Linked DNA regions of Xenopus tropicalis. The protein of the gene in region 1 interacts with the protein of each later gene in a pairwise test. Links are inferred from orthologs where the notes say so. Each region holds a gene or a part of one and is shown in the gene's direction. Other genes may lie near its edges. The genes, in order: banp, prkab2, tnxb, leng1, camk2d, peptidyl-prolyl cis-trans isomerase and rab3ip.

Evidence for each region.
Region 2: the proteins of banp (region 1) and prkab2 interact in binary tests that used the Homo sapiens proteins (3 or more experiments, as listed by UniProt). The link is inferred for Xenopus tropicalis from reciprocal best matches to the Homo sapiens genes BANP and PRKAB2.
Region 3: the proteins of banp (region 1) and tnxb interact in binary tests that used the Homo sapiens proteins (3 or more experiments, as listed by UniProt). The two-hybrid records come from large-scale screens. The link is inferred for Xenopus tropicalis from reciprocal best matches to the Homo sapiens genes BANP and TNXB.
Region 4: the proteins of banp (region 1) and leng1 interact in binary tests that used the Homo sapiens proteins (3 or more experiments, as listed by UniProt). The two-hybrid records come from large-scale screens. The link is inferred for Xenopus tropicalis from reciprocal best matches to the Homo sapiens genes BANP and LENG1.
Region 5: the proteins of banp (region 1) and camk2d interact in binary tests that used the Homo sapiens proteins (3 or more experiments, as listed by UniProt). The two-hybrid records come from large-scale screens. The link is inferred for Xenopus tropicalis from reciprocal best matches to the Homo sapiens genes BANP and CAMK2D.
Region 6: the proteins of banp (region 1) and peptidyl-prolyl cis-trans isomerase interact in binary tests that used the Homo sapiens proteins (3 or more experiments, as listed by UniProt). The two-hybrid records come from large-scale screens. The link is inferred for Xenopus tropicalis from reciprocal best matches to the Homo sapiens genes BANP and PPIF.
Region 7: the proteins of banp (region 1) and rab3ip interact in binary tests that used the Homo sapiens proteins (3 or more experiments, as listed by UniProt). The two-hybrid records come from large-scale screens. The link is inferred for Xenopus tropicalis from reciprocal best matches to the Homo sapiens genes BANP and RAB3IP.

What each region holds. Positions count from the first base shown.
Region 1 is NC_030680.2:65,883,095-65,886,594, forward strand, and holds part of banp (protein BANP), read left to right. Parts: intron 1-3,245; coding exon 3,246-3,485; intron 3,486-3,500. UniProt on the Homo sapiens protein: Controls V(D)J recombination during T-cell development by repressing T-cell receptor (TCR) beta enhancer function. Binds to scaffold/matrix attachment region beta (S/MARbeta), an ATC-rich DNA sequence located upstream of the TCR beta enhancer.
Region 2 is NC_030680.2:118,092,817-118,096,927, forward strand, and holds the start of prkab2 (5'-AMP-activated protein kinase subunit beta-2), read left to right. Parts: upstream 1-1,311; 5' UTR 1,312-1,416; intron 1,417-3,249; 5' UTR 3,250-3,264; coding exon 3,265-3,426; intron 3,427-3,713; coding exon 3,714-3,871; intron 3,872-4,111. UniProt on the Homo sapiens protein: Non-catalytic subunit of AMP-activated protein kinase (AMPK), an energy sensor protein kinase that plays a key role in regulating cellular energy metabolism.
Region 3 is NC_030684.2:73,758,478-73,762,538, reverse strand, and holds the start of tnxb (tenascin-X), read left to right. Parts: upstream 1-1,261; 5' UTR 1,262-1,552; intron 1,553-3,394; 5' UTR 3,395-3,413; coding exon 3,414-3,612; intron 3,613-4,061. UniProt on the Homo sapiens protein: Appears to mediate interactions between cells and the extracellular matrix. Substrate-adhesion molecule that appears to inhibit cell migration. Accelerates collagen fibril formation. May play a role in supporting the growth of epithelial tumors.
Region 4 is NC_030683.2:104,890,696-104,894,258, forward strand, and holds leng1 (leukocyte receptor cluster member 1), read left to right. Parts: upstream 1-1,432; 5' UTR 1,433-1,465; coding exon 1,466-1,597; intron 1,598-1,950; coding exon 1,951-2,136; intron 2,137-2,270; coding exon 2,271-2,527; intron 2,528-2,787; coding exon 2,788-2,995; 3' UTR 2,996-3,063; downstream 3,064-3,563.
Region 5 is NC_030677.2:69,463,113-69,467,213, reverse strand, and holds the start of camk2d (calcium/calmodulin-dependent protein kinase type II subunit delta), read left to right. Parts: upstream 1-1,301; 5' UTR 1,302-2,074; coding exon 2,075-2,136; intron 2,137-4,101. UniProt on the Homo sapiens protein: Calcium/calmodulin-dependent protein kinase involved in the regulation of Ca(2+) homeostatis and excitation-contraction coupling (ECC) in heart by targeting ion channels, transporters and accessory proteins involved in Ca(2+) influx into the myocyte, Ca(2+) release from the sarcoplasmic reticulum (SR), SR Ca(2+) uptake and Na(+) and K(+) channel transport.
Region 6 is NC_030679.2:126,260,463-126,264,498, reverse strand, and holds the start of peptidyl-prolyl cis-trans isomerase, read left to right. Parts: upstream 1-1,236; 5' UTR 1,237-1,372; coding exon 1,373-1,441; intron 1,442-4,036. UniProt on the Homo sapiens protein: PPIase that catalyzes the cis-trans isomerization of proline imidic peptide bonds in oligopeptides and may therefore assist protein folding. Involved in regulation of the mitochondrial permeability transition pore (mPTP).
Region 7 is NC_030679.2:59,166,644-59,170,675, forward strand, and holds the start of rab3ip (rab-3A-interacting protein), read left to right. Parts: upstream 1-1,232; 5' UTR 1,233-1,252; intron 1,253-4,032. UniProt on the Homo sapiens protein: Guanine nucleotide exchange factor (GEF) which may activate RAB8A and RAB8B. Promotes the exchange of GDP to GTP, converting inactive GDP-bound Rab proteins into their active GTP-bound form.

The sequences.
Region 1 (3,500 bases):
GTTCACAGATAGTTACTGTCTGATTTTGTTAGTGTTTGAGTGTTAGTGACACTCAAATGCTCCGTGGTCTGGGCAGCTGGTGAGAAGCTAAAGCTAGGGGTCATTTCAAATCATCAAGCCAAAAATGACGTCATAGATGCTGATGCTACCGGGCTAATTATTAAACTGTGATTCAGAATGCACTGGTTTCTGAGCTGTCATATAATGGACCTGAATTAATTACTAATCAGCTTCGCATTGTGACTTTTATATTGTCAATATGCAGTATTTCGTGCGTCTTTAAGTTTAGGTAACTGGCAGCAGCAGAGAGCATGTGTTATGGATCAGCAGAAAAAAAATGATAGGAATCTACTTGGGGCATCTTCAAATTTACAGATCTTTACTGCAAACAAGCTGTAGTAGCCTTGGGCTTCTACAGAATCTCAAAAAATAAAGTGCAGCATTTCTAGTCCTTTGTTAAGCTTTAGCTTTCCTATAAATCATTTTTACATGTTTTTGTAGACACCTATTCTTCAGCATCACAAACTCAACAGATTATGGATTGTCCCATATCCCCATAAGTGTTACAAATAGGGTTTTGGGCACTGGTGCTTTATATAAAACTTTATATGAAAAAAAACAATAAACAGTCTTTTAGGAAGTATGCAAAAGTCACATAATAACTGAAAATGTAGTGCCATTAAGCAAGCCCATAAAGGGAATATTCATTAATAAACTATATTTTACTAAAACATTTGCTATTTTGTTTAGTTTTAGTCTGAGTTTAAGAACAAAAATGAATGCATTAGAAGGGATGTCGTTGAATCAAATGCAGAACCTTTGGAACAAGGGCACAGGATGCAGATCCAAAACTCAATGCCAGCAAGAGTTTATTCTTTCAGCCTAGGAACTCCTCTAATACTGAGAATTCTATACTTTTAGTGACCAACAGCAGCGTTGACACAGAGCCTGTTTAGATATTAATAATATACTGCTTTAAGTTCTCAAGTTCATTAAGTCTGGATTCTCACAGAGAAAGTTTGGCCTTTCTGAACTTTTGTAACTGTAAAATAGGTTTGCAAAACTAAAAGAAGCCTTTTTTATTAAGTAAATGCTTGATTCACTGACAAATCAGCCAAAGATATTATTTAATTGCTCCAGAGACCAGGTTTATTTATGTAAGCTAGGAACGGGTTGTTTTTATAATATTAATGCAACTCTGTGTCTTGGTAACACAGCTACCAGAAGTTTTCATATAATTCCCTGAGACCGAATATCACCCAGATTTGTAATAAAAATAAACAGCCAGGCTTTAATAATAAAATACTTAGATTCCTTGAATATTTTTTTGGGCAGGTGTTTCATTTTACTTTCTCTGTTTTGAATAATGATTGACAACAACTAAACTTGCACACTAAAATCAACTTCCCATACCTTATCTGATAAGGGATCATTATTTATGGTATACTGTATTAAAAAATGGGGTATGCCTTTAATAACTATTAGAGTTGCCACCTTCTGGCAGCAGGAACTCCGGGTACAGTTGTGGAATGAGATGTTGGTGTAAGGCATGTGACAGCAGTTGGCCGGGCTATGACATAACAACCAGCGATTGGTCGATTGCCACATGAATTAAGGGGAGGCCTGTCCAGATTTCCTAATTTAGAAAAGCAGGTAGGGGGTTTTGACCTGGAGAACCTGGTTTTTGAAAGGGACAGGTGGCAACCCTAACAAATACTTAGTACACAGTGAGCAGTCGAAAAATTAGTATATAAAGCAGAATGGGATTTTTGAGGAAATGGGGCTTTCTTAATTAATGGGGCAAAAAAGGAGCATGTTTTAACAGTGTCATGCAGAACTGTGTGATAAATTCATTCAAAATCATTTGTGACCAATTGAATGAAAGCTGAGCATGCACATTTTCAAGACTTGAGAGGCTTTATTTTTCTTTCCAGCATGTTTTTTTGAGCAAGTATAATCTTTGTTTTATGATGTCATGGAATCTGCCTTCTGGGATGAAACAGCTATTTAAAAAATATAATTATTCTTAATTATTCTTAAGAAGCAGCCTTCTTATACAAAAATGTAATTTAAAAGAAAAAAATACATCCTGATGATTTTCAATATGAAGATGTATTTTCGATAGATGAATAGATAGCTAGTAGAGCAGAGTTTAATGTAGCTCAAATTATAGGTTACTGTATTTTTTTTCTTAGATTTGTTATGTGGTGTGATGCTTTTACTAGTGGTTTTTCATGGTGAACGGTGAACATAATTTGCTTTCTTTCTGGTATTCAAGAGGCAGCTACACACTGTAGTAATCTCCCCGAAATGCCATCACAGCGGCGTCTGCGATTTACATTTTCACTGGTGGAATGGCATTTCAGGGAGATTAGTCGCCCGCGAACAGGGAGATTTGTTGCGGGCGACTAATCTCCCCATGTGCCAGAGCCCTAAAAGTTGCCACTTTTCTGAGATTTTTATTTGTCAAAATAGCTAAAAATTCAATACAAACTTTAGAGGTTTTGGATATTTGGCGCCATTATTTGTGCAAGATTTCTAAAAATACACAGTTTTTATGTGACAAGTTGAAAAATGTGTGATTTTTCCCAACTTTTCTGTGACTTTTCCAGTTCAGACTTTTTAGTATATGTAAGACATTCGTAGAAACAAGTTTATTCGAATTAAAAAAAAAAAAGTTATTTTTAGTAAATCTGCCCCCACATGAGTTTCTTTGAGAAAGTCATCAAATGTGACCAAAGCTTTGTAAGAATATTCTAAATAAATTTATTAGAACTGGTGAGTGCAATGTTATGTTATATTTAATTACTTTTCTGTCCATTTAATGTGCTGTCTGATCTTACAGTACTATAAAGGCATATACTGAGTATGTTCATAGACATATATTGTGCCATGGTTCAAATCAAATGACAAGAATCTTTCTTGGGAAGCACAATCCTTATATCTGTTTCTGTTTCAACTTAAATAACAACTCAAATAATCATATATATCTGTTGTAACAGGTTAATTTTTGTGAGAGGCATGGAATCAGATATAGTGATGCAACAGATTTTCACTATCACTTCTAAAACAATGGTTTGCATCAAATATGTATATTTTGTTCCAATCTCCAATCCATGTTGTTTATGATTTAAGTCCTACCACCTTCTTTCCAACCCTCTTCTATGTATTGTTAAATGGGAAGCCTATGTTTTGTATGCATGCTAAAGCTTTTAATGGTAATATGTACTTCTTTTGCTTTTTAGAGGATTATCCTAATGGTACATGGTTGGGGGATGAACATAATCCAGAGATGAGAGTAAGAAGTCCTATAACAGCAGCTGACATGCTGCACATCAGTACCAACTGTCGAACAGCTGAAAAGATGGCGCTTACTTTACTTGATTATCTTTTCCATCGAGAAATCCAGGCTATCTCCAACTTGTCAGGCCAGGGGAAACATGGGAAAAAGCAACTGGATCCATTAATGATCTACGGAATAAGATGTAAGTAAAGTGATT
Region 2 (4,111 bases), about 52 Mb from region 1:
ACTCGCTCCATGGGTCCTTAGCCTAAAGGTTCATACCTTTATTACTCCCCCTGATGGTAGCCCTGACATTTCCACTTCTTCATTTACTGATGCACCATACACCATGGTGCATCAGCTGCTTTGTTTTTTAAACCTACCCATCCATAACTGGGCCACCATCTGCGCACACTGAAAATCATTTCATATATGGTTTTATCAGTATGTATATGGTCAGCTTTGCTGGTGTCAGTTACAGTACTTTATGTGGAGGCTTGCCATATTAAGTGGCATTGCTAGTTTTATGGTAGCGTAGATGTTTCGCTTTAACCTACCTCCCCAGCTTTCCAGGGGCAAAAGATAGATACAATCACACAGGACATATTACAGCAGTTGTTTTAGATATTTACATCAGAGATTTCCAAAAAGCTCATTGGAGAATTTCAAATATATAGACTGTAAGCTCTACGGGGCAGGGACCTCCATCCTCTTGTGTCTTTGACTCTTAACTTATTGCAACTGTATTTATCTTGTATTTATTGTTATACTTTGTATTTATCGATTATCTTAATAACCCCAGTTTGTATTAATGTATTCTACTGTACAGCGCTGCGTACATAAGTAGCGCTTTATAAATAAAGATATACATACATACATACATACATACAAATATTTACTTTAGTGCTACTGTTTATTTATGTTGTAAACTGAACGCTTTTTTCTTTACATACCTACTCCATTAGTGGTATGTAGTGTGACCAACTGCACTGGCTGCTTATACTCTAGCACCAACCGACAGAGAGTCATTTTCACAATATTTTTGTACACTCGCTATTGCGTATAGCGGGGAGGGCATTTCCCGGACACAATAATATGTTATACATTGTATTTATCTATTAACTTAACCCCCTGTTTGTATTAATATATTCTACTGTACAGTGCTACGTACATAAGTAGTGCTTTGTAAATAAAGATATACCTACATACAAACAATAAGGCCCTGTTTCTGTGCAGAGCAGGTTATAATGGGTTAACATAACCCTAAATACTCAGAACAACCCACTTGAACCGGAAACAATGACTTGCACAACTAGGCGTATGTATTAAAAGATGATTTATATAATTGTTATATAGCACGTTGGAAACGAAAACTAAATCGCCTTGGGGGATTTTTGATCCAGTGCTTATAGGGTTACCCGTGCCACAAGCCCTACTTTCCCCTCAGCTTCCCTCCACTAGATGGCAGAGAGATGAATCGCTGATGCAGGCCTGTTGCAAGTGGTGCTGATTTGCCCGGCTCGTCTGCCACACAATCTATTTGCTGCGTGTGACAAGCGGCTGTGCAATGTGTCACGGTTAGAGCACAGCTGAGAGCTATTCCCGGCATTGCACAGGGGCTACCCCGCTCACTCCAAGGGAGAGGGACCTGCAGCAAACGGGGTAAGTTTCCTTAGCATCCTACACTACATGTCTGTTAGTAAATAGGGTACATCGTTCTGTGTAATTATTACTCAGCAAATGACATTAGATGCCAGCGCTGGGCGCAGGGCATTATGGGAATATTTCCTTGTCAAGTTGTTGTTGTTTCCCTCCTGGCTTCCTTGCTTTATATTTCTATTCACTCTCATGTAGTTCCTAGGTAACTGCTCTATAATATACAGGTCCTTCTGATGTGTTAATATTAAATAAGTCCTGGGTGATGCCTATTGATATATGTATTGTACTAATAAAAGGAGCAATGGAATAAAGTAGCCTTTGTGGTAAGCGGAATGGAGTTAGAGGGCAAAGTAATTCTGTATCATGGCACTGCTGTTGCCATAGTTATTATACACAAGCTGCTAAATGAACTGCAGTGCTTTGCTCTAAGGAGCTCTGGGTAATATGTGGTAGCTGCTGTGTTTGTATATAACTAAACCCCATATTCTAGTCCTTGTGTTGTGCCTGTCACTCTCTAGAGATGCTGCTGGCCAGTAAATTACTGCTAATTACTGTGTCCTGTTTCCCATTAGGCTTCCTGCCAGGTGTCGGATTTACAGACACTGCGATTTTATGTCCCAGAATAGTGAAGAGGTTATTACTGTATATTTGAAAGTTACTTAGTACATTTTGTTTCATTATGGAAGATTCGTATATTTGGGTTCACATTTCCTTTAAAACACAAGCTCCAACACGTGCTCAGACGCAGCAATTTCGGCCACACTCACTAAAACCTATTACCAATATGCTGTTATCCTGTGCAGAGAACTGAGCCCAAGCCTTGCTACTGACGTGAGATTGCCTCAACCTTTAGTTCCTGTGGAGATCCCATTCAACAAATAGAATGGAACTGGATTTATAGAGCTGCTTTTTTCTGGGGATACAAAGTACATCTCCAAAGTTATGGCAGCTCTGTTTGGGTGCAATAACTGGAGCAGCAAGGTCACAAGGATCTAATGCTGGGATACATGAATAGGTCTCCATCTTGAGATCAGATGTCACTGTCCTTGATCTCATGAACCAAAGAGCCAGCTACATATAGAAAAAAACTATGTAATGATATAAAGCAAAAAAATAAGGAAAAAATTAATATACAAGGCATGCAAAGCTAGTATGGATTAGGGATACAATACACATATACAATTGCTTATTGGTAGGAGGCAATAAGGGAAGGGCCATTCCTGTGTGAGCTTACAGTCTAAGAATATTTCCCATTTTTTGTAAATGATAAAAGACAAAAAACTGTAGTGAATCTGTAGTGAATAGCCTTATTATTATTTATATTTTTTATTATTATTATTACTACCCGGTCCCTGCCCCAGTTGAGCTTACAGTCTAAGTTCCTATCAATGATATCAGTAGCCAGTTCATATTTTTGGAGTGTGAAAGGAAACTGGGGTACCTGGAGGAAATAACACAAGCATGGAAAGAACATACAGATCCCATGTGATAGAGCCCTTCATTCATTCCAGTAAAGGAGTGAGAATGAGTGTTACAGTTACCCATTGCTTATTTTTCTTTTTTATTTCTTAAACTCCAGGCACTCTGAGGCTGATATATATCATACTGAGGTCATTGTCTCTCCTTGCATTGACTTGCATTGCACATTTCTAGACACAGAAGCTGTGTAAAGATAAACCATGCTTTCTTTGCATAGCTTAAATAAGATATATGATTCAAAATTAAAACAATAGCCTGAGCCATATTAACCCTATTTATTAGTTGTACTTTTGGCTCTCTTACATATTTCCCCTTCATATAAAATACACTTTACACCACAACTTGTTTGCTTTGCAGTGGCCTGAGCCAAATATGGGTAACACAGCAAGTGATCGCTTATCTGGAGATCGGCATGGCAAGTCCCACCGTGCAGATGGAGCAACTGGGGGACACTCTACTAAGGAGCATGAGGAAAACAAAATCATGGTTGGAAGCACAGACGACCCAAATATCTTTAGTACTCAAGAATCTAAGGTATTCCAATGAACTGAAAAGCTATATGAGACTGGAGTGGGAATGTGATCTTTTAATGCCATAGGGGTCATTTACTATGACCCGAATGCTAGTGTTAGAAGGGATGCAAAAATACATTCCATAGTGCTTCTTCTAAAGAGTTTATTATATGTGGACCTCCTGCTGTTGAACTACATTTCTGAGAAATCCCTTGACACAAAAGGTAGATAGCAACAATAGCTGGAGACCCACAAGTTATTGTTTCCCGAGCTATAAATCTATTTCTAATTTACATTTTGGCAATGCAGCACCCTGGTGACTCAACGTGGCCCCAGGAATCAGAGGATCCTGGAAAATCAGCTCAGCAAGGTCGTCCCACTGTAATCCGTTGGACAGAAGGTGGCAAAGAAGTCTTCATATCTGGGTCATTTAACAACTGGACTGCCAAAATTCCACTGATTAAAAGGTAGTACAACTTACATAAAAATAGGCATATATTGGTTTTGTATTTTTTAGTTTACATGATTGTCTTACCTGTAACTCTCTAGCTGGGCAGAAGTCATACTTTTTAAACATATCAGGGAAGGCTTAATATTTTTTTCCCTAACAACAGGTAGCTTTTTTATTTGCACAGTGGCACCTGTTTAAATGAAAGCAGCCCAGGGGCATGTATACCTATAGAAATATTTATTAACTTAAAAGCTAT
Region 3 (4,061 bases), on another chromosome or scaffold:
TAGCTGCCGATATTGGTCCCTTGGACCAATTTGGCAGCTAATCAGCCTGTGTATGGGCACTCCCGACGAGCCTGCCCGACCGATATCTGGCCTGAAATCGGGCAGATCTCGATCGGGCAGGTTAGAAAATCTAGACGGATCAAGGACCGCATCGGCTCGTTGATGCGGCCCCCGGACCGACTTTTCCTATACCCGCCGTTATAATTAGATCGTTTGGCCCCAGGTCCAAACGATCGAATTACCCTGGATTCTCCCGATATCCCCCACCCGTAGGTGGGGGATATCGGGAGAAGATCCGCTCACTTGGCGACATCGCCAAACGAGCGGATCGTATGGTGTATGGGGACCTTAAAACAAAAGAAGGAAGGTGAAAAAAATATTTATCAGTCATCATGAGTGAACATTTTTAATGGACAAATGTGGGGGTAGCAGACAGAGAATTTAGAAAAACGAAAAGAAAATGAAAAATACCCACCTGAGCAGTAAATAATAACTATGAAAATAATGTATAGATTAGTGAATAGGTGAGAATAACAGTGAGAATGATATAAAAAAAAATAATACAATAGGTGAGAATAAAAGAGAAGATACACCATTTTAAAAGAAAAAGAGTAAACACGTTTAAGAATGACAAAGTATAGAATAAGCGAGACTGAGAGAAATAATGACAGAGCAAGTATAAAACATGTTATACATAATGGGTAAGAAAGCCAACAAGGATGAAAGAGAGAGAATCAGTAAGGGTAATAGGTAAGGATGACAGAGACAGTATACTATAGATGAGAATTGTAGACATAATAGGACGGGTGATAATGACTGTAAGAATGATAATGAGACAATTTAAAATATATAGTGTAAAAGAGTAAGAAGAACAGATAGAAAAAGTATAGATGAGAAAGAAGAAAATGACAGTGAGAGGAAAGAACTCATCAGAGGGACAGAAGGAAAGTTATTTGAAAAAATACTGTAAATGTCAATGAAAGAAAACAGAACAAAATAAGGATTGTTGTGGGCAGTAAACAGAAGATGAAAGCCTGAAAGAAGAAGCTGAGAATGAAAATGTAATAAAAACTAAATTAGATGAACAGAGAAAACCTAAAAGAGACAGAGGGGGGTGAAGGGAAAGGGTGAGAAAAAATTTGAGTGGAAGAAAAGATGAATTCATGTCATTACAGATGTATATCTGCATTTTACCATGACATCATCATTTGGACATATCTCTCCCTCCCTTCTCTCTGTTTCACTCTCTCTCTCTGCCAGTTACCCCAGAGCAGCTCTGAGGGAGAGAAGACGGGCTGAAACTGGGCAGAATCTTACAGAGAAAGGAGGAAGAGCAAAGTGCCTGAAGTCTTGTGAATTGGGTTGATGGCTAAGAATGACAGAGAGAGTTAAAGGGCAAGGAAAGACTGAGTCAAGGAATAAAGTACAAACTGCTTGAAAGTGAGGCGGGCTCATCCTGTAGGAACAAGCAAGAAATACAGCAAGGAGCAAAAAAGGGAAGACCACACTGGAGCTGGCTGCAAGCAGCAATCCCTGATACTTCACTGAAAAGGTAAGAGCTGAACCTTTCTCAGCCCACCATGTCTGCAAGGGGGTGGGTTTTCTCTGAGCTTTAGGTAAATGTCATTTTGAGGAAGAACAAGTTCCTGTGAGCAGAATACATTTGGTCCAGTGCCTTATATGCTGTTTCATTGTTGTACAGTATTTTATGTTGGTGCTTTATAATAAAATGTAACAGTGAGTTTACTGTAATGGGTCTATTGTAGGAAGCCCATACTGACAGTTTATATTTCATAATTACCTTTTTCACTATTTATGAGAGCTCTTTTTATTTTTGGTCATTTAATTTAGCTTTTCATGGTTGAACTGAAGCCATCATGTTTTACTGGCAGGTAGTGCACCGTAACTCTCATGATATATATATAAACATAATTAGGCATTTGGCAATATCCCAGCAGTTTTTGCCAGATATGGATTTTGTTGAAACCTATGTGACTTTAAAACTGTGGACAAGTGATCATGACAAGCTCACAGCAATTTTTTGAGGTTTTTCAAATTTTAGTATAAAAATTAGGATTTGATCCAAAAAGAAAGAATTTGGCTTATCCCTTATATGTATATATAACATATTAAAGAGGTCACACACCAACAATTGCAGTGACCTTGGTGCCATGTTATAGTTCATCACAGCCATCACATGGAGTATAGCACTCACAGGATTTGTGCAAATACAAAAATATAGTTTTATATATATATATATATAAATATCACTGCTTTAAAATTTCACCCAGGTGCACAGTAAACAAGTATACACTTTTTTGACTATTATAAATTCCGGGTGTTGCATGTTACTATAAAAAAAACTCTATGGTTAATTAGATTTGTTACTGTAAAGTCAATTTTATTTGAATGAAACTTGATGGGCACATGTCCTGGTTTGGAACTACACTGGTGGAGTGCATATTGTTTGTCAGATTACATTTGTCTCATGGATAATGTAATACAGGTCTGTACACCAAAAATTAAAACTAGGAATATTGGCAGCTGTTTCCATTTGTTTTGACCCAAAGACTTTGGAGTAATTATATCTTTACAAACATATTAAACTATTAAACTGAGAATGTTTTTCAAATGTATAGTCTTGTCTTCTTCAGGATCATTTTGGTGAAAGTGTGTATATGATAAACACACACACAGGCTTTGTTGCCTGTAGTCCAATGGTTGAAAAAGGTGTTTGTTTTTTTGTTCTTGTTGTTAAGCTTCTGGGTAATTTCAGTTATTGTACATGTGTGAAATAGAGGCAATAATTTAATTTAAACAAAGGAACTGTCAAACTAGAAGAAGAATTGCAAATAAATGAAAAAAAACATCCACTTTACATTTCACGGGTTCTGGTTTGTACGGAATTTGAACATTTTTAAGAAACAGGGTGTACCTGGCTTTGGAAGGGTTAATACATACATTTATGGTCAGGTTCTGCAGAGGGTTATTGGAATAGCAATTTCATGGTAACATGGGACTGTTAGAATGCAAATCACTGATTTTAGAAGAATGATATTTTCCAGAGACTTCACTGATATTGTACAGGATAACATATCCATATAGCTCCGGTATAATGAAAAATATATATGTTGACAAATCCTCAAATTGTTCATATTTAACACACTTTTGCTTGTGTTTTCTCACATCTGTCTTTGCTTTTTGGCAACATGGTCTCTACTTCAACTCACTTTCTCACACCCTCCTTTCTTCACTCTCACCTTTCTTACCTTCTTCTTTTCCAACTTCCTCAACTTGACTTTTCTTGATTTTGCTTTTCCTGCATGTATTCACTTGTTTATCTCCCTTTGCATCCTTATCCTTTTTTTTTGGTTCTTCCATTCTCACTTCTTAGGGATTCCTCTGCCTTTATCATGCCCTCTTTCCTGCCTCTGCTCTTCTTCATTTTGTTTTTCAAGGGTTGTCTGGCCCCTCCATCCACATCAACTCAATGTCCAGATGCAGGAGGGGTGCGAGCTCTCCTCAAGCGACTTGAAATTTTGGAAAAGTTGGTTCGGGACATAAAAGGACAGTGTTCACCTCCATGTTGTGGAAATGTGCAGAGTGGAGCTGGTAAGTGTACAGGGGTGGTACATCTGTACCTGAGGTAATGCAGATCCCCCTCTCTAACCCGTAGGTTCCCAAACAGTGGGAAAAGTTAGTTATATCTGCTGAATATTATATGATCAACTACTATATACAAATGTTACTTTTACCATATGGCCACTAACTTTTAGCAAAATCATTATATGGAGCAGGTTTTACTTAATGAGTAATTATTATTTTGTTATTGTTCTAAGGAAAGCAATCTGTATACAGCAATATCGTAACCACGATGCATTTAGAGTGCATGCGCTCATATACAAAGTGTATAGGGAAAAGATAACACTTAGATACAGTTGAATATTGGTTGGCTTGGAACACCTACTTACTTTTAGTATTAGTGGCTCTTATTGGCAGAAAATATATGCTAATTGTAAGTGGGTTACTGTAACAGCAATGTTCTGGGATTGGCCTTGACT
Region 4 (3,563 bases), on another chromosome or scaffold:
ACAGACTTGTTCAGTGCTGGGAAACTGTACTTATTGCTCCCAACTCCAATTGCAGGAACAAAGAACAGGAAGTCAGAGTTACACAGATCAGCTGGGATTCTCATTGGAGAATTTTTTTTGCATTTTAATGCAGCCACTGGCCCTGGAGATTTGGGGAAAGGTTTTGGAAATGTTTCAATATTGCTTTAAGAATACAACCCCTGATGTTACTGGACTACAGCTCACCCTTCATTATATGTTAAATTGTTCTGGGATTTGTAGTCCAGGAACAACTGAGTAAAGTTTGGTTGAGCAGTGCTGCAGGCTTTAGTGTACCTTTAAACCAGGGGTCCCCAACCTTTTTTACTCATAAGCCACAGTCAAACGTAAAAAGACTTGGAGAGCAACACAAGCACCATAAAAGTTCATGGAGGAGCCAAATAAGTGCTGTGATTGGCTATTAGGCAGCCTCTATGCACACTATCAGCTTACAGGAGGCTTTATTTGGTAGTAAATCTTGTTTTTATTCAACAAAAACTTGACAACAAGTCAGGAATTCAAAAATAACTACCTGGTTTGGGGGCACTGAGAGCAACATCCACGGGGTTGGGGAGCAACATGGTTGGAGATCACTGCTTTAAACCCTCCCATCATCCACAGTTTAGGAACAAAAAAGAAGTGGAACCCTTGTGCCACTGCCATTGTTTCTTATTTGAACTCCTTCCTTCCTAAAATGGTGCAGGAGTAGGAAGTCTTGTCCCAAATCAGCCCTTGTTTTGTCCATTAATTGCAAACAATCTGGTTTCCACAGTCTGCACATCAGACGCTTATTCCTGCCCCGGCACTGTGGATATAAAAAAAGAAAAATCAATTCACAGCCTACAATTAAGTGCTTGGTAAGTATGAATGGTGCCTACAGTAGCTCTTAGTTCTCTTGTTTGCACAAATATACTAGCATTCTCCCATGCCATGAAAAAAATCCTAAAAACTCAAGATTAGTTTTGGTTTATTTCATCCATTTTAATTCTTCTAAATTAGCCCTTGTTTTAAACTGTTTCTACATTTCTCCCATCCCTAGTTTCCCCTCTTTCCTTTCTGGTCAAATTGAGAAAATTATTTTATTTGTTCCCTGGCCCAAGCTAAAACTAAACAAAGCAAAAAAAAATGTTTTTTTTAAATGAAAATCATAAAGACTGGGAACGCAGTGACTTTTCCCTGTCAGAAGTAGGCGCTACAAGCAAAGACAATTACAATAGCAAGCGGACTCAAGTGACATGCCACAACCAACAGCTTATCCTTATGTGACACGGACGTACTCCCGCCCCCAAAGGTTCGTACGTACCACGCCCCCGCGCTTACGTTATGCGGCGTGACGCAACGATCTCGCGAGATGAGATTTGTGACGTCTGGATTTGTGTCCGGAAGGAATCACGGAGTTGAAAGTTAAAGCAGGATTATTTGGTGGAATTGTGACAGGACAGTTGCCATGAATATCCTGCCTAAGAAGAGCTGGCATGTGCGTAATAAGGATAACGTGGCCCGCGTTAGGAAGGACGAGGCACAGGCTGCGGAAGAGGAGCGAGTGCGTAGGAAACGGGTGGAACTCGCAGAACAAGAGGTGAGAGTAGCGCTGCAGTGAAACTATAGACCCCGGCTCTAAAGGCACACTAGGCCTTATATACTACAGAGGCAAAAATGTGCATGTTGCACACAGAGAGCGATTGCGCCTGTTTCTTGCATCAAGCTCACATTGCGCATATCTCTGTAAAGGCGCGGAATGGTATACCGTTTGACACTGGCCTTGTGGTCAAATGTTCTCCATGGGGCAGTGGTTCAACTGTAATACTCTTGGCATCTCCAGTAGATCTACATTATTCTTTGGTACTCAGTCATGGAGACACTGCTGCCAGAGGGTGCCAGGTACATTAGACGGAAGGTGTCTTGGTTGCACATGTGTGTTTGCCGTTTCAGGCTCGGACAGATTTCCTGCGTAAGAAGGCTCGTCTCTCCTTGCCAGAAGAGTACAGGAGTGATGGGACTTCCTCGGTGGAACTCACCAAGGATTCTGGCCACATCAACTTTTTTCAAGAAGTGGAGGAGGGCAAAGGAACAAACAAAGGCAACAAAGAATATGAAGAGGAGAAACGTAAAGAAAAGGTCTGTTATTTTACTTTACTGCAGGAGAGGCTGTGTGTTTTGACAACTTTTCCCTTACTGTATTTTAAATTATTTGTATTTAACTTGATTTCTTAGGTGGGTTTTGCTTTGTTTTTTATGGATAATTTACACAGGAGCGGCAAGAAAAAACCCTGGGCATTCTTACATATTTAGGACAAAGTGCTGCAGAAGCCCAAACCAGTCGCCCATGGTACCAGGAAGTCCCTGGTCGCCACTGTAAGGCCGAAGATGGCAACGCAAAGGATGAAAAGGTGAAAAACCTGTTAGATCCTTTACATGACATGGAGAAATACTTGCAGAAGAAATCTGGAGAAAAGAAGAAATTTAAAGAAGAAAAGCAAAACAAACATAAATCCAGGCAAGAAAGCAGGTAGGTTAGACAAAATTGGAATTTGCTGCTAGTCTACAGGTATTCCTGCTGCTTTAATTAGAAGCCCATGGATCCCAGTGCTCAATTAAATCCACTGCCTTTGTCTCTCTAGTTCTTTTGTTCTGTGCTGAATGAGCTAACTCACAATGTAAATATTTGGCAGAAGTAGTAATGTAGGCAATGTCTCCAGCCTCTAGAAAGTTTGGTCTTGGTAGGAGTGTGCTGCATGATTTAGAGTGATTTGTTTCTTTGTCTTGTAGACCCACCAAGCCATCAATAGAGCAACTAAGGCAGGAACGTCTCAAGAGAGAGGCAGCAGAGAGAGCTCGGGCTGAAGCCTTGCTATCAGGGAGAAAGGAGTCTGCAGAACCAGAACAAGAAATGGATGACCGAACACGCCGTTACAATTCTCAGTTCAACCCACAGCTGGCACGAAAACCTAAAATGCGAGAAGAGCCACAGCGGTGATGTTAAAGAAACTAATGGCAATATTTCTACATCTCATAGCTCTGATAATAAAATGTATATATTTCCAAGTTGCTGTAGAATGTCCTAATGCACTTGGGTTAATGGACCACAAGCCCCTACAAAATGCCAGACGTCTGCACTGAGTAGCAGGACAGGAGAGGATTACCCATTTTTAAACCACACAGGTGTGATAGAAAGTAAATTCTACATAGGTTGTACAGCAGTGCTTACATACACCAAGGCTTTTTCTTGGTTGCAATTATATAAAACTGGATTCCTGTAATTGGTGCTCTACTTTATACCAGGCAGAAAAATCATTCTAGAACAGGAGTTTTCCTTATGCCTGTTTCTACATGAGATTAAAGAAAATGTTGTTTGATACAAGGAAGATTAATCATGAAACAAAAGCACTGGGGAAAAACATGAAGTGTCAGGTTATTGCCAAAACAGTCACATAATTTGGATTGTGAACTACACAGGGATAGAGAGGTCTGGCATGTTTAGTGATTACTGTCTTTTCAACAATGAAATCTCTCAAACATAAGTATACATTTTCAGAAATATGCTT
Region 5 (4,101 bases), on another chromosome or scaffold:
TTACATGGGTTTATCCTATAGGCTACAGATCTCCCACTGGGTTTAAAGCTGAAGCCGGGATAATAGCTGATCAGGATAATAGCTGATCAGATTCCCAAACCACAAAGGCCTGGGCTTAGGGAAGCATAAATTTAGGTGCGGCATACCACCCAGCCGCTCGTAAAGAAAACCTTAGTGCATCCTGTCCCAAGTGCTCTGTATGTAAGCTAAAAGGACACGCATGCGTGCGATCCTGCTGGGGGGGGAAAATGGGGGCAGCTTATGGGCCCCATAGACAGAAATCCGGCACTGAAGATAGCGCTGAGGTCTTGCTGGCTGGTATGTTTTGCTACACAGAGGTTACCTTTTTAGCCACACTACTGACTACAAGTCCAGACATGGTGCGCACCAACTCCATTGCTCTACTTTTCCACTACATTAGTAGTTGACTGCTGTCAGTTCCTCAGTGTGGAATCAATAACACCATTAGTATCACATTCACTTGCCACAAGTCACCTGTGAATATAGACACAATGCACTAAGGGAATTATGGTCAGATCCATGGTGAAGGTAATTCCTGGGTTCTCGTGTGTCAATGATATCACTTGTGCATAACTCATTAGGCTTGCAGCAAGTTGCAAAGGCGCCTGTATGGATCTAAAAGCCTTTCTGAATCAATCAATGCATGCATAGTTTTGCATCCATTTTAGCACTTCTGCTTGCTTTCATAAATGAACCCTAGCAGGCCCATCAGCATTTCAGCATGTATTTGAAATTGAAATTGAAATTGCACCAGGCAGGTACTTCTTCTGCCTACCCCTAGTCTGCGCTCTCTAGCCCCCCCCACCTCTTGACATTACAGGCAACCCCAGCAATCACTCAGGGGCAGGGGATGGGGGAAGGTGGCCAGCCATGTTGCCTAGGGTGCCTCCCTGGCTTGGCTCTCCTCTGGCACCTGTACAGACTTTGTGCCTTTTATTACATCACCCCCTTTGACTGCTTAGTATATAGTTAATATGCACACTTTGAATGCATAGCTGCTTTTACCATGACTAGTGACATGGTTCCTGTATAAAATCAATAGTTTTGACAATATACTAGGATAAATACGTTGTGTAGGCTGGAACTAACGCCCGGTAAGAAGGTAGAAATCATGAATACAAAAAAGAAATTTACTAATGGCTTGAACTGAATGTTTTTTCTTTCCACACCATTTTTAAATCAAAAATAGCTTTGCTATTAGCTGAGGAAGTTCCTAGTTTTCTCTAACGATGTTTACTTCCACCCCCAGAGCGTAACAAACAGAGGGATTTCCCGGTAAAACACGCAGGACATGATGGTGCTATGATACCCCGTCCGATATCTCTGTGGACTCGTCTGCTGTTGTTGAGTCGCTAGAGGGAGGTGCGTTCCATAGAACGGTAGGGGGGGGAGCGAGCAGCTCGTACCCACTCACTCGCACACAGAGCACATCTAACCCGCATAAAATATAACCGTGAGCTGTTCCCTCTCGGGCTGCCATTAGAGGCAGCGGGTCGGAAGCAGTAAGACATTAGCCTGCGCTTTCTGAGAAGGGTCCTAGCGGCATGACCGACCTGCAGGACGCCTTCGCGTTTTTATAGTTTTGTCGCTGTATTTGGTTCCTCTTTCACCCGATATGACACTTTCCTTCCCCAATGCGTCTTGAGATATTCAAGCTAAAAGGAGCCAGCAGCTGTTTGTGACACTGTCATTTTGCGCTACTACGTTCTTTTGTTTTACGCTGCGCTCCCCACAGGGAAGCGAAAGTGAAGCGGAGACGGGGAAACGCTGCAAATAAGGCAAAGCACTAAGCACTAGAGAGCAGTGACCGTGTGAGCCGACCCTGCTGCGTGAAGAGAGGCGGGGAGGAGGAGGAGGAGGAGGAGAGGGGCACAGGGAGGAGGGAAAGCCGAGCATCCTCCCCAGGCTCAGGTTAGGAGCTACTCTGCGCCCTACTGCTGCCACCTCGGGATCCCGCCGCTGCCGCTTCTCTTGCCTGTCATTGCGCTGCTGCGCGTCCCCTAGCACCCCGACCGTGCACCACCAGCGGAAAAAAGCAGGGGGAGGAGGCGCTATGGCTTCAACTACTTGCACCAGGTTTACGGATGAGTACCAGCTCTTCGAGGAGCTAGGAAAGTAAGTAGCAAGAACAGATATGGCTTCATTGTCTGTGGCCCAGCAGCGCCTAACCTGTAGCCCTCCAGCCTTGGGGTCATGGGAGTTATAGTTTGTCAACACCTTAGGGCTGCTAGTTGGGCATTCCTGGCTTACACATTAGCTCTTTAATATTATAGGATGTATGTGATGTATATATACACATTATATAATAAATATATCATTTGTGTTTATGCGTAGAAATGGTCAGTTGTAGTAACTGCCCACTTGTGAAGGGCTGGAGGGACAGCATTATAGATGCCCATTTTATTTTTAACATTTGCCCAGAGGTGAACTTGTGGGAGTTTGGAAGAAATACATCACTAAAATATATATGCGCCTTGTCTCATTTGTATCTTCCTCTAATGATCTGTATGGCAGACCATTTGCTCAGTAATTGTGTCAGAATCATAACAAAAGTTACACAAGCTTAGCCAGTTAACATGATTCTCCTCTGCCCCAGCTGAACACCCTGTATTGTGACTCTGGTGTTGAAACGGTTAATTGCATAATTCATTTATTTATAGTATATGTGGGAAAAAGTGACGCATAGACGCAGCCTGTGCCCAAGTATGTTTGATTGTGCCTATCTACACTAAAGGCTCGTGCCAGGAAATAGTCCATCAAGTGTACTTTGTTATCAGCACTGCCAGTGGAAGTATGCAGTTTGAACAGCACATGGATGAAAACTTGTGTCATGGTAAAGGGCTACAAGGAGCAGCAATTGAGGTTACAGCTGAGGGAATCCCTACCCTGTAGATTCTTTAAAGGTACACTCCATCCAAAAATTGTCTAGATAATGGTAAAACAATGTGTTTATCCCTCTGTTCTCTGATTCTGACTCAGGGCCCTGGAAGACATGGATATATGTCATAAGCGTTAATTCTGTGCATTTGGATCGACACAAGTAAAAAATAAACATTATTTGCAGCAATCCAGCTTAAACACAGGAAATTGCCTTCTTTCACATTTTCCCGCGATTAAGCCGGATTGGTGCAAGTAATATGTTTTTACTTGCAATGATTCAAATGTTAGGCAAGGGGAAGGCATTTTCACTTGTTGACCATAGTAATGCATATTTACCACGGCTGCCAAATCTTCCTATGTGCCAGTACCCTAAAAGTATCTTGCTTTAGCTACATTGTTTCAGTAAGCATAACCAAAAGTGCAGAGAATATAAGCAGCCAGACTAGGGTTGCTACCTGTTCAGTATTTTATTGACCTTGGTGGAAAAAAATATGCCTGAGGCCAATGTTATTAATAGGAAAGATATATAAAAATATGGTAAGGTTGGCATTTTTGTTTTTGGAATCAAGACAGATGCAGCTTTCAACAGTCCCTTTAAAATAATAGCTTCAAGTCTCTTTAAATTATATTTTCTTTTATTTTTTTTGGGAGGTGGAAATCCCCTATAACAACAGAGGGTTTATACAAAAATAGATGCCATGCACGGAATGTTCAGCAATGAGAAATGCTGTAAGGACAAATAGCCTAGTGCTATAAATAGCAAGCAAAATCTTAATACACTGCTGGGGGGTGAATATTGCCTGGCAATACAGTGTAAATGTAGTTGGCCAGAGCTTCAACCAGTGGCTCGGAAACACAGTCTGGATACCTTATATTTCTCAGGGGAAATGAGGGAATTCTTCCAGCTATCATTGCTGGTGACTCACACTACAGAAATTCAGGTCAGTGTGGAAACATCTTGCTCTCCTAAGAACTGATTAAATTGCATCTTTTTATGCTTTCACTGTGTCTGGCCACTTGAATTTTCTCAAATTTGACCTTACTCTTTTATCTATCACTATAATATGTATTGCCCTAAACATAATGACACTCCGTTTAAATATCCACTCTTGACAAAGAGCTCATGGGAATCCTCCATCCAGAGCCAGTTACAAGAGGCATTTACTAGTGTTGAGAAGGAAAGACCATTTCGGTTTTCGT
Region 6 (4,036 bases), on another chromosome or scaffold:
CCTGCTGCAAAGATGCCACATCCTGGATGGAACTAATTGGGCTGCAAACACCGATACATTATGTACAATACCTTCCCCTAAGTCAGTGCTGTCCAACTTCTGTGGTACCGAGGGCTGGAATTTATCTGGCCTACTTGATGGAGGGCCGATAATGGAAGCCAGTTTTGACCACTCCCCTTTTTTAAACAACACCCACTTGAAACCACACCTATGTTATCACATGACCATACCTATATTAATAGTGTTAGTAAAGCAAAAACCTGCTATACTCTGCCTTCCCTCCTCCCAGCAGCTGATCAGCAGAGCAATAGGAAGGGAGCAAGATAGCAGCTCCCAGTAGGTATCAGAATAGCACTCAATAGTAAGAAATCCAAGTCCGGCTTGGGACTCCTCCAGTTACATGGGAGTAGGTGAAACAATAGGTTACCTGAAAGCAGTTCTAATGTGTAGCGCTGGCTCCTTCTGAAAGCTCAGACTCAGGCACAATGCACTGAGATGGCGCCTACACAACAAATATTACAGCTAAAAATACATTTGTTGGTCCAATAATACAATTTTAAATGGTAGAGTGAATTATTTGCAAACTGAACAGTGTAATATAGTTAAAACTATACCACAAAAATCATGCAGAATCCCTTTAATAAATTGAATAACAGGACCCAGTACAGTAGTTGATGGGGCAAAATCTGAATAGATTCCACTGATAAACTGGACAGCCCCACTGTCCAGCTTCTTACTAACCTCATAAAAAGCAATTAAAGAAGAGGGAGAGGGTTAATGGCTGGAGCCTGGGTTTGTATGTCTAACAGTCCATTGCATATTTCTTTTCAAGAGTGTTAGATTTTTTAACATTCAAATTTCATCCACAGAAATATAATGGGACTGACTGCTGGGGAGACGTAAGACCCACAGCGCTGTTATGAGCAGTGAGGTGGCCAATGGGAAATGCCTCCTAGCCATTGTTATTTTGGGGGTTTGCCTTGGATTGTGAGGGGACTGACAGTAGCCGAGGTCACAGTGATTTGCTTGATACCATCAGGAGGACAAGAAACGCTGCCCAGCTAGGAGATGTTACGGAAATAGCATTGTGTTCATTCTGTGCTCCCCCCCACATTAATCACATAGCATTTGGTGCTACCCACAGCATATCCTACAGGATTAGAAGAGGAATAGACTCAGCTGGTATCAAATATTCTTGGTTCCAGTGCTTTGGCCAGGCTGCCCTACTGAGCCTTATCTGCTTTCCCCTGTGACTGACAGCTAGGGCTGACTGACAGCTAGGGCAGGGGGAAGCCTAGGTATATATAAGACAGGGGCTCCACCCGTCCCCACTATAGCATCCCCCTCACTCTACAAGCTGGGCAGCCTCGCTATGGAGAACAAACGAGTGTTTTTTGACATATCCGCAAATGATATTCCCCTTGGTCGGATAGTGATGGAGGTAAGTATGTCCCACTGAGATGCACCAGTATGGGGTGGGAATCCGACAGGATTTTAAAGGGAATCTTATGTTTTCACTGAGGGGCTCTGATAGCTGATATGTACAGAAGCGTTTCTTTAAAGGGCTTGTTCACCTTCAGGGTTACTTTAGAATGTTATAGAATGGCCTATTCTTAGCAAGCTTTCATTTGGTCTTCATTTTTATTGTTTTTGAATTATTTGCCTTCCTCTTCCTGACTCTTTCCAGCTTTCAAATGGGGGTCACTGACCCCACGACCCTCAAACTGTTACTCTGTGTGGCTACAGTTTTAGTCTTATGGTTACTTTTTTTTACTTCTATTTCTATTTCAGCCCTCCTCTATTTGTATTTCTGTTTTTTTTTTCCAAACCACTACCTGGTTGCTAAGTGAAATTGGACCCCAGCAACCAGATAGCTGCTGAAAATCCAGACTTGAGAGCTGCTGAACAAAAGGCAAAATAAATCAGAAACCATGAGTAATAAAAAATGAAGACCAATTGAAAATTGTCTCAGTCGTTTAACCTGTAACCCTCCAGTTGTTGTTTAACTGCAGCTCTCAGCACTCCACTGAGGGGCTTGCAAGTCCCATCTACAGTATGCAGGAGAATAAGGCAAGATGTAGTGACATTGTAATATGATGTTGTTTAGGTATGAAACTGAAACAAGCATCATCCATCTACCCTATGTGAATGTCAGCCCATGGGCAAGTGTCCCTGTCACAGCCAGCAGGGAGCCCATATTGTCACCCAGCAGCCTGAATGCTGGCACAGCTCAGACTAATGTCCTGATATGCAGAGAGCGCAGAGCCGCTGATGTGACAAATCCAGGGCCACAGTCCATTTCTGAGGCGATGCTAACAGGGCAAATACCTCGCTTCTCCATGCAAGTGTATGGGTGGGATATTTTGGATGAGCGGCCAGCTGATTAAACAGAAGACTTACTTTCTAAACCTTATTAATCCCACCGAGTCGTGCTGGAGCCTGTTCTATCTCCAGTTTAGGCGTTACGGCCACTGTCCCCAAGTATACACAGTCCTTCCATGGGGCCCGTCACCTGCCCTGACCCTGGTGCCAGTAGCGGTGGGACAGGCTGGTTGAGGCATGTGTACTCCATATATATTGTTTCTTTTCTCTCTATATAGAAATATATGGCGTCATCATAGAACCAGACTTACTCTATATCCACATTTTGGCTGGAGTAAATCTCTGCATATTGCAACCAACCAGCAATTAGCTTTTATCAATTACAAGATCCTGATATCTTTAGCTGAGTCTGTGCTGCTGAACTGCACCTTCTAGTTGTGGTGAGGCCTTAGCACCCCTAGATCTGCAGTCTACACCATAACCTGCCAGTCCCACCAAACTGACTTGCTAAGAGCAGGGGGTCCAAATGCTTGTTGTTTTGTTCTTTCTATTTATTCTTCTCTATCCCTTTTGTCTGTAATGCCTGAGAAATACATGACAGCGCCCTGCATAGAGGAGCCAGCCCTGGTGTCCCAGACAGAGCCACACATGGCCATGCAGGGGCTAATGTTTCATATTTCAAATAGCCCATTGCATATTTCTGTTCCGGGAATGCAGGGGGTGGATGGATTCCAGACACCTGTAATCCCCACTCTTGCCTTTGTAGTGGCCGTCCCAGTTGGGGATGTACTGGGAGATAATCGCTCAGATGCTTAGTACCTTGCTTAGACGCCCTTGCCCTGCCAGAGGGAATCCAATCCCATCTCTGGGCCCAGGCATTTCTTCTATCTTTGTTTCATTCAGCTGCACGCCAACATGTAATGCTCCTAAGCCTGCTTGTGTCATATTCACTCACATGAAGGTGCAACACCATGTTAAAGATGGGGGGGGGGGGTGTCCATCTAAAGCAGGGGTGTCAAACTCAATCACATAAGGAAATCTAAAACACAGGCTAAGTCGCGGGACAAATTTTATTAATATACTTAGTAAGATACTAAGGGGTATATTTATCACAATGTGTAAAAAGGGGAGTAAGGCATTACCGGTGATGTTGCTCATAGCAGCCAATAGATGTTTGTTACTGTTGAAATCTGATTACTGATTGGATGCCTTGGGCAACATTACACTCTACTTTTTACACAGCATGGTAAATATACCCCATAGTTACTATGTGAGAAAATGGAAATTGATCAGGCTGGATGGCCAGACACACTCACCAAATGCCACATAAAACAGTCAGGTGGGCCGGATTTGGCCCCCGGGCCTTGTGTTTGACATATATGATCTAAAGGATTTGACATAAATCAGGGACATCAGTGACAGGACAAGTTCAGTGAACTTGCCAAAATCAGGGACCTCCAACAGCATCCTATGGCAGCACTTGATAGAAGTTGAAAGGAACCCCTGTGATGTAGGGGCGCAGGGCACATTCTCTTTCTGCCTTACCCTATAGAAGCCCATTGGGGAGTTACCTGCCTAAGGTACTGTCTTCTTGCCCATAATGGCTCCCTGTTCTCCTGACTTGTCTATAACGCAAGTGTTTTATCTGCTGTTTGTGGACAGATCAGTCATGAGGATTATGGGAGATTTAGACCAGAAGTGGGAGCCTGTGCTT
Region 7 (4,032 bases), on another chromosome or scaffold:
GATTGTTCAAGAACTCATCTAGGCCCCTCTTAAAGGCATTAACAGAATCTGCCATTACCACATCTCTAGGAAGGGCATTCCACAGCCTCACTGCCCTCACCGTGAAAAACCACCTACGCTGCTTCAAATGGAAGCTCTGTTCCTCTAATCTAAAGGGGTGACCTCTGGTGCGTTGATTGTTTTTATGGGAAAAAGAACATCCCCCATCTGCCTATAATCCCCTCTAATGTACTTCAAAAAACATGTTATATAAACATATTCTCCATTTTACTTTGTTTCTGGATAGTCTAATATGTAAGCATATGGCTAAGCAATTCATAGTGTAAATTGTATTTGTTTTATTGAAGCTATACACCTGAAAATAACATTTTGCCTAATAAAAGAAATTCTGTTATTTGCAAATGCTTCTGTCGCTGAATGCAAAATTTGCCTTTTTCCTTCACTTCTGGAGCGCTGGTCTCATATGTAAACACAAGCTAAGCAAGGCATGGTGTGAATCTTATTTATTTTAGTGAAGCTATACACCCGAAAATAAAATTTTGCCTACTTAAAATAATTCTAAGCAACTTTCTAAAACATGTTCAGTAGTTGCAAAGTTATTTGCAAATGCTTCTGCCACTGAATGCAAACTTTGCCTTTTTCCTTCAACACTAATAGTTTATATCGTTTAAACAACGTAGAAGTTCAGCCTTGCATGCTTTATTACAAGTCAATCACTCAGCTACTACATCGTTTCACAAACCACAACCACCAGGGCAGAGAACAGAAAACCGCTTAACAGCAGCTTGACTCTCAATTGCACAGCAGGCAGCACTCTATTTCCTTCTTTTTGTAAGAAACTTCGCATTTTAGTTTTAGGGGCATTAAATTGAAATTTAACAGAAGACTGTCCCTCTTGCAAGACCTCTACGTTTCAGGATGAACCCTTGGCTTGACCCAGGATCCACAGTAAAGCTCATTTGCCAGCTCCCTGACACAGCACTCCTAGCACCCTCAGTGTGGGCAGCCCGACCTACTGCGTGACGTCACCAAAGCGCTTCCCTTGCCTCCACGCAGGTGCGGCGTACCCGTGAGCGCTCATTGGTTGGAAGGGATCGCTGACGTCATATACGCGCGTTCCTGGCTTGGCCGGTGAGTGCGCCTCTTGCCCATGTAGTTTGCACCTGCTGTTCCTGGGGGGAGCGCGCTGCGCGGGCACGGATTCGGACTTGTATTTCTCTCTCAGCGTGTTGCAGCCATAAGGCTTTGACAGGTAATAGGGTGACGGGAGGGAGACGCTTGGGGATTAGGGAGTCACACGAGCCGGTTTCTTGATAAGGGCATCGCGAATGTCATTTCTTTTGTGATTGCTCGTCCATGCTATTGTTTGTGCGAAAGAGCCCGGAGCTCGCACTTCAGCAGGTTCCTTGTATATATATGTGGCTGCCCTATAATGGTTGATTTGACCCATCTGGCGCATCGTAGCTATGTGTGCCCAAGCAACCGAGTTTTGCCTTAGGCTCACGAAACGATGCATTAGCAAGTGCAATGGAGCATAGTAGTGCTGTTCATCTGTAGGCCTCACCCTGTAGGCAGGTTAATATGTTCTTAGTGAGTAGCCTGAGGCTGTCTTATTGTTGTGGTGCACTCTATTATCTCACTACTGTATACAGCCTATTGCTGTCCAAGGATCCTGGGAGTGGTAGTCAGACACTCGAAGATGTCCTACCAAGGGCTTTTAGACAAGGGTAGTCCTCTTTTTTTTCTTTATTATTGTTGTCAGGTGTATTTTTATTTTGTCAGTACTTTATTACAGAGGACAATACTTTTTTTAAGCAAATAGCTTTTGCTTCTCTTAATTGCACCACGGTTCATTGTTAGAAAAAGTCATTTTTCCAATTGAGCTGAAAGCTATCATCTTTAGGTATCATACATACTTTCCGAGGAACAACCTGTAACCCTGCAAGTTATACAGTATAACATCAGTATTTTTTGACAGCCCAAATCTGTTAGGAGTTCATTGAGGGGGGGACAGAGGCTGAGCATAACTAGAATGAAAAAGATAATTAAACCCATGAATTTAGTTTTAATTGGGTGTGGGAATCATTCTGTTTGTTAGTGTGCACACAGTATACCTTAGGTCTCTGTTGTTTCATATATTGTTATCCCCAAGCTTTACACAGTTTGCCTATTCTGTATGCTGGGATACCCCTTTTGCCCTATAGAAATATGCCATATTATAAGTGGATTTCATATGATTCTAAGAATGTTCAATGTATTTTGGAGCCTCTTGGATAATAGGTTTCTGGATAACAGATCCAGTTACTGCTGTAAAATACAACGGAAGACTATGTTGAAACCGCATTAGTGTCAAAGCCAAAATGCTTACCCAGCTAATTGAAGACACACAGTACTAGTAGCAGCTACATGCAGTGGCTAATAAAAAAGACAATGCTGATCATTAACTGATGATTGTCTCTATGTGTGTTTTAGCAGAGGCAATTCTCAGTATTGTCTATGGCAGGGTATTCTCTGGAGTTTAGTAGCCTTGAAAAAGTAGCTGCTACTAGTAGCCCTAAAAGTATCACATTTTGGCAACTTGCTGTAATTATGTTACAAAATTAACTTTGTAACATTCTTGAATCCAGTCACATTTTTCTGCACTAAAATTGCAGAATGTTTTTATGGCACTTTTGGGAATAACATATTGTTAAAACTAGGCTATAGGATGCCCACTACACATTATTCATTTTAATTTAGGATCCTTTAAAGCTAATATCACCAGACAATTCATATCATTTACTTTTGTGGAGAAACACATAAAACCTGCCTATAGCACATCCAATTTTTTTTTTCTAAATGCCTATGTCATGTTTGTTGTTTGAGTTTAGGCTGCCATAAATGTAACCACGTAGCCTGTTTGCCCAACTGGTTGCAAGTATTGGCCTTCAGGTAGTCGATTTAGACAGACATTAATAAAATAGGAATGTGTATTAACCAGTCCATATGTACATAAAATTCGCAGGGTGGTGTTGACCGCAAATATACAGGCCCTTATTTGTCGGACCACCACAAAGGCCAGGGCCTAGAGCGGCAAGTTTTTTAGAGCATGCTGCCCATCAGCATCTGTAATTTTCCCTTCTTACAGACACCTCTGGAGCATTTGGGACTGGACATGCCTGAGATTTTGACAATTATTTGAATCTCCTGTGTCCAGTTCTCAGTGCTACGGGTGTCTAGGAACTAGCAAGCCAGCCACGTGCATGGGGAACACAACAAATACATAATATGTATTTGCATGCATATGTGCCTTTGAGGGATACCGAAGAAAGCCGGCTTAGGGGTGCACTATTTTGAAATCCGGCACTGCTCATATATTCAAGCTATGCTTCCACTTTTGTTTGGAGCAGCGCCTCAAAAAGTTAATCAATATTAAAGATGTAGCAGACTTTACACATTTTGTTCACATGACACCTCTGTGAAAGGTGATTATAGTCTTAAAAGGACAAAGAAAGCCTAAATCATTGGGGTGCCAGTATGTTGAGTATCCCCTCAGTGTATCAGGCTTAACTTTTTTGTAATTGGTGTTATGTATATGAATGTAATATGTAATTGGTGTTCTCACCAGATTATTAGACTCCACATGCCAATTAAAAGACTGATCGTTATCGATGCTTGTCACTTTGAGAGAATAATGCAGGATTCTGTCTGATATACACACATACTTAGCCTATCCTGAAAATGTCTATGTTCAGTGACCTACAAAATTTATGCAGCAGTATCTGGTTGAAAAAACAAAAACAAAAAGTAACTAGTTATTTTCTTTTCAAATACTGTAACATGACTTCAAAAAGTAAAACACATATTGCTTATTTCAACTGCTTTCTAGTTTTTTTTTATACACATTTTCTAAAATGTAAGCTTTAAAAATGAATATATTTTTCACTAAGATTTCCTAGAAGTAGTTTAAAAAAATCCATGCCACCAGTCTTCTTAATTGCTACAGCTTGACGCATTAGTTGACGTATTCATTTCTAAGTCCCAACTTAGATG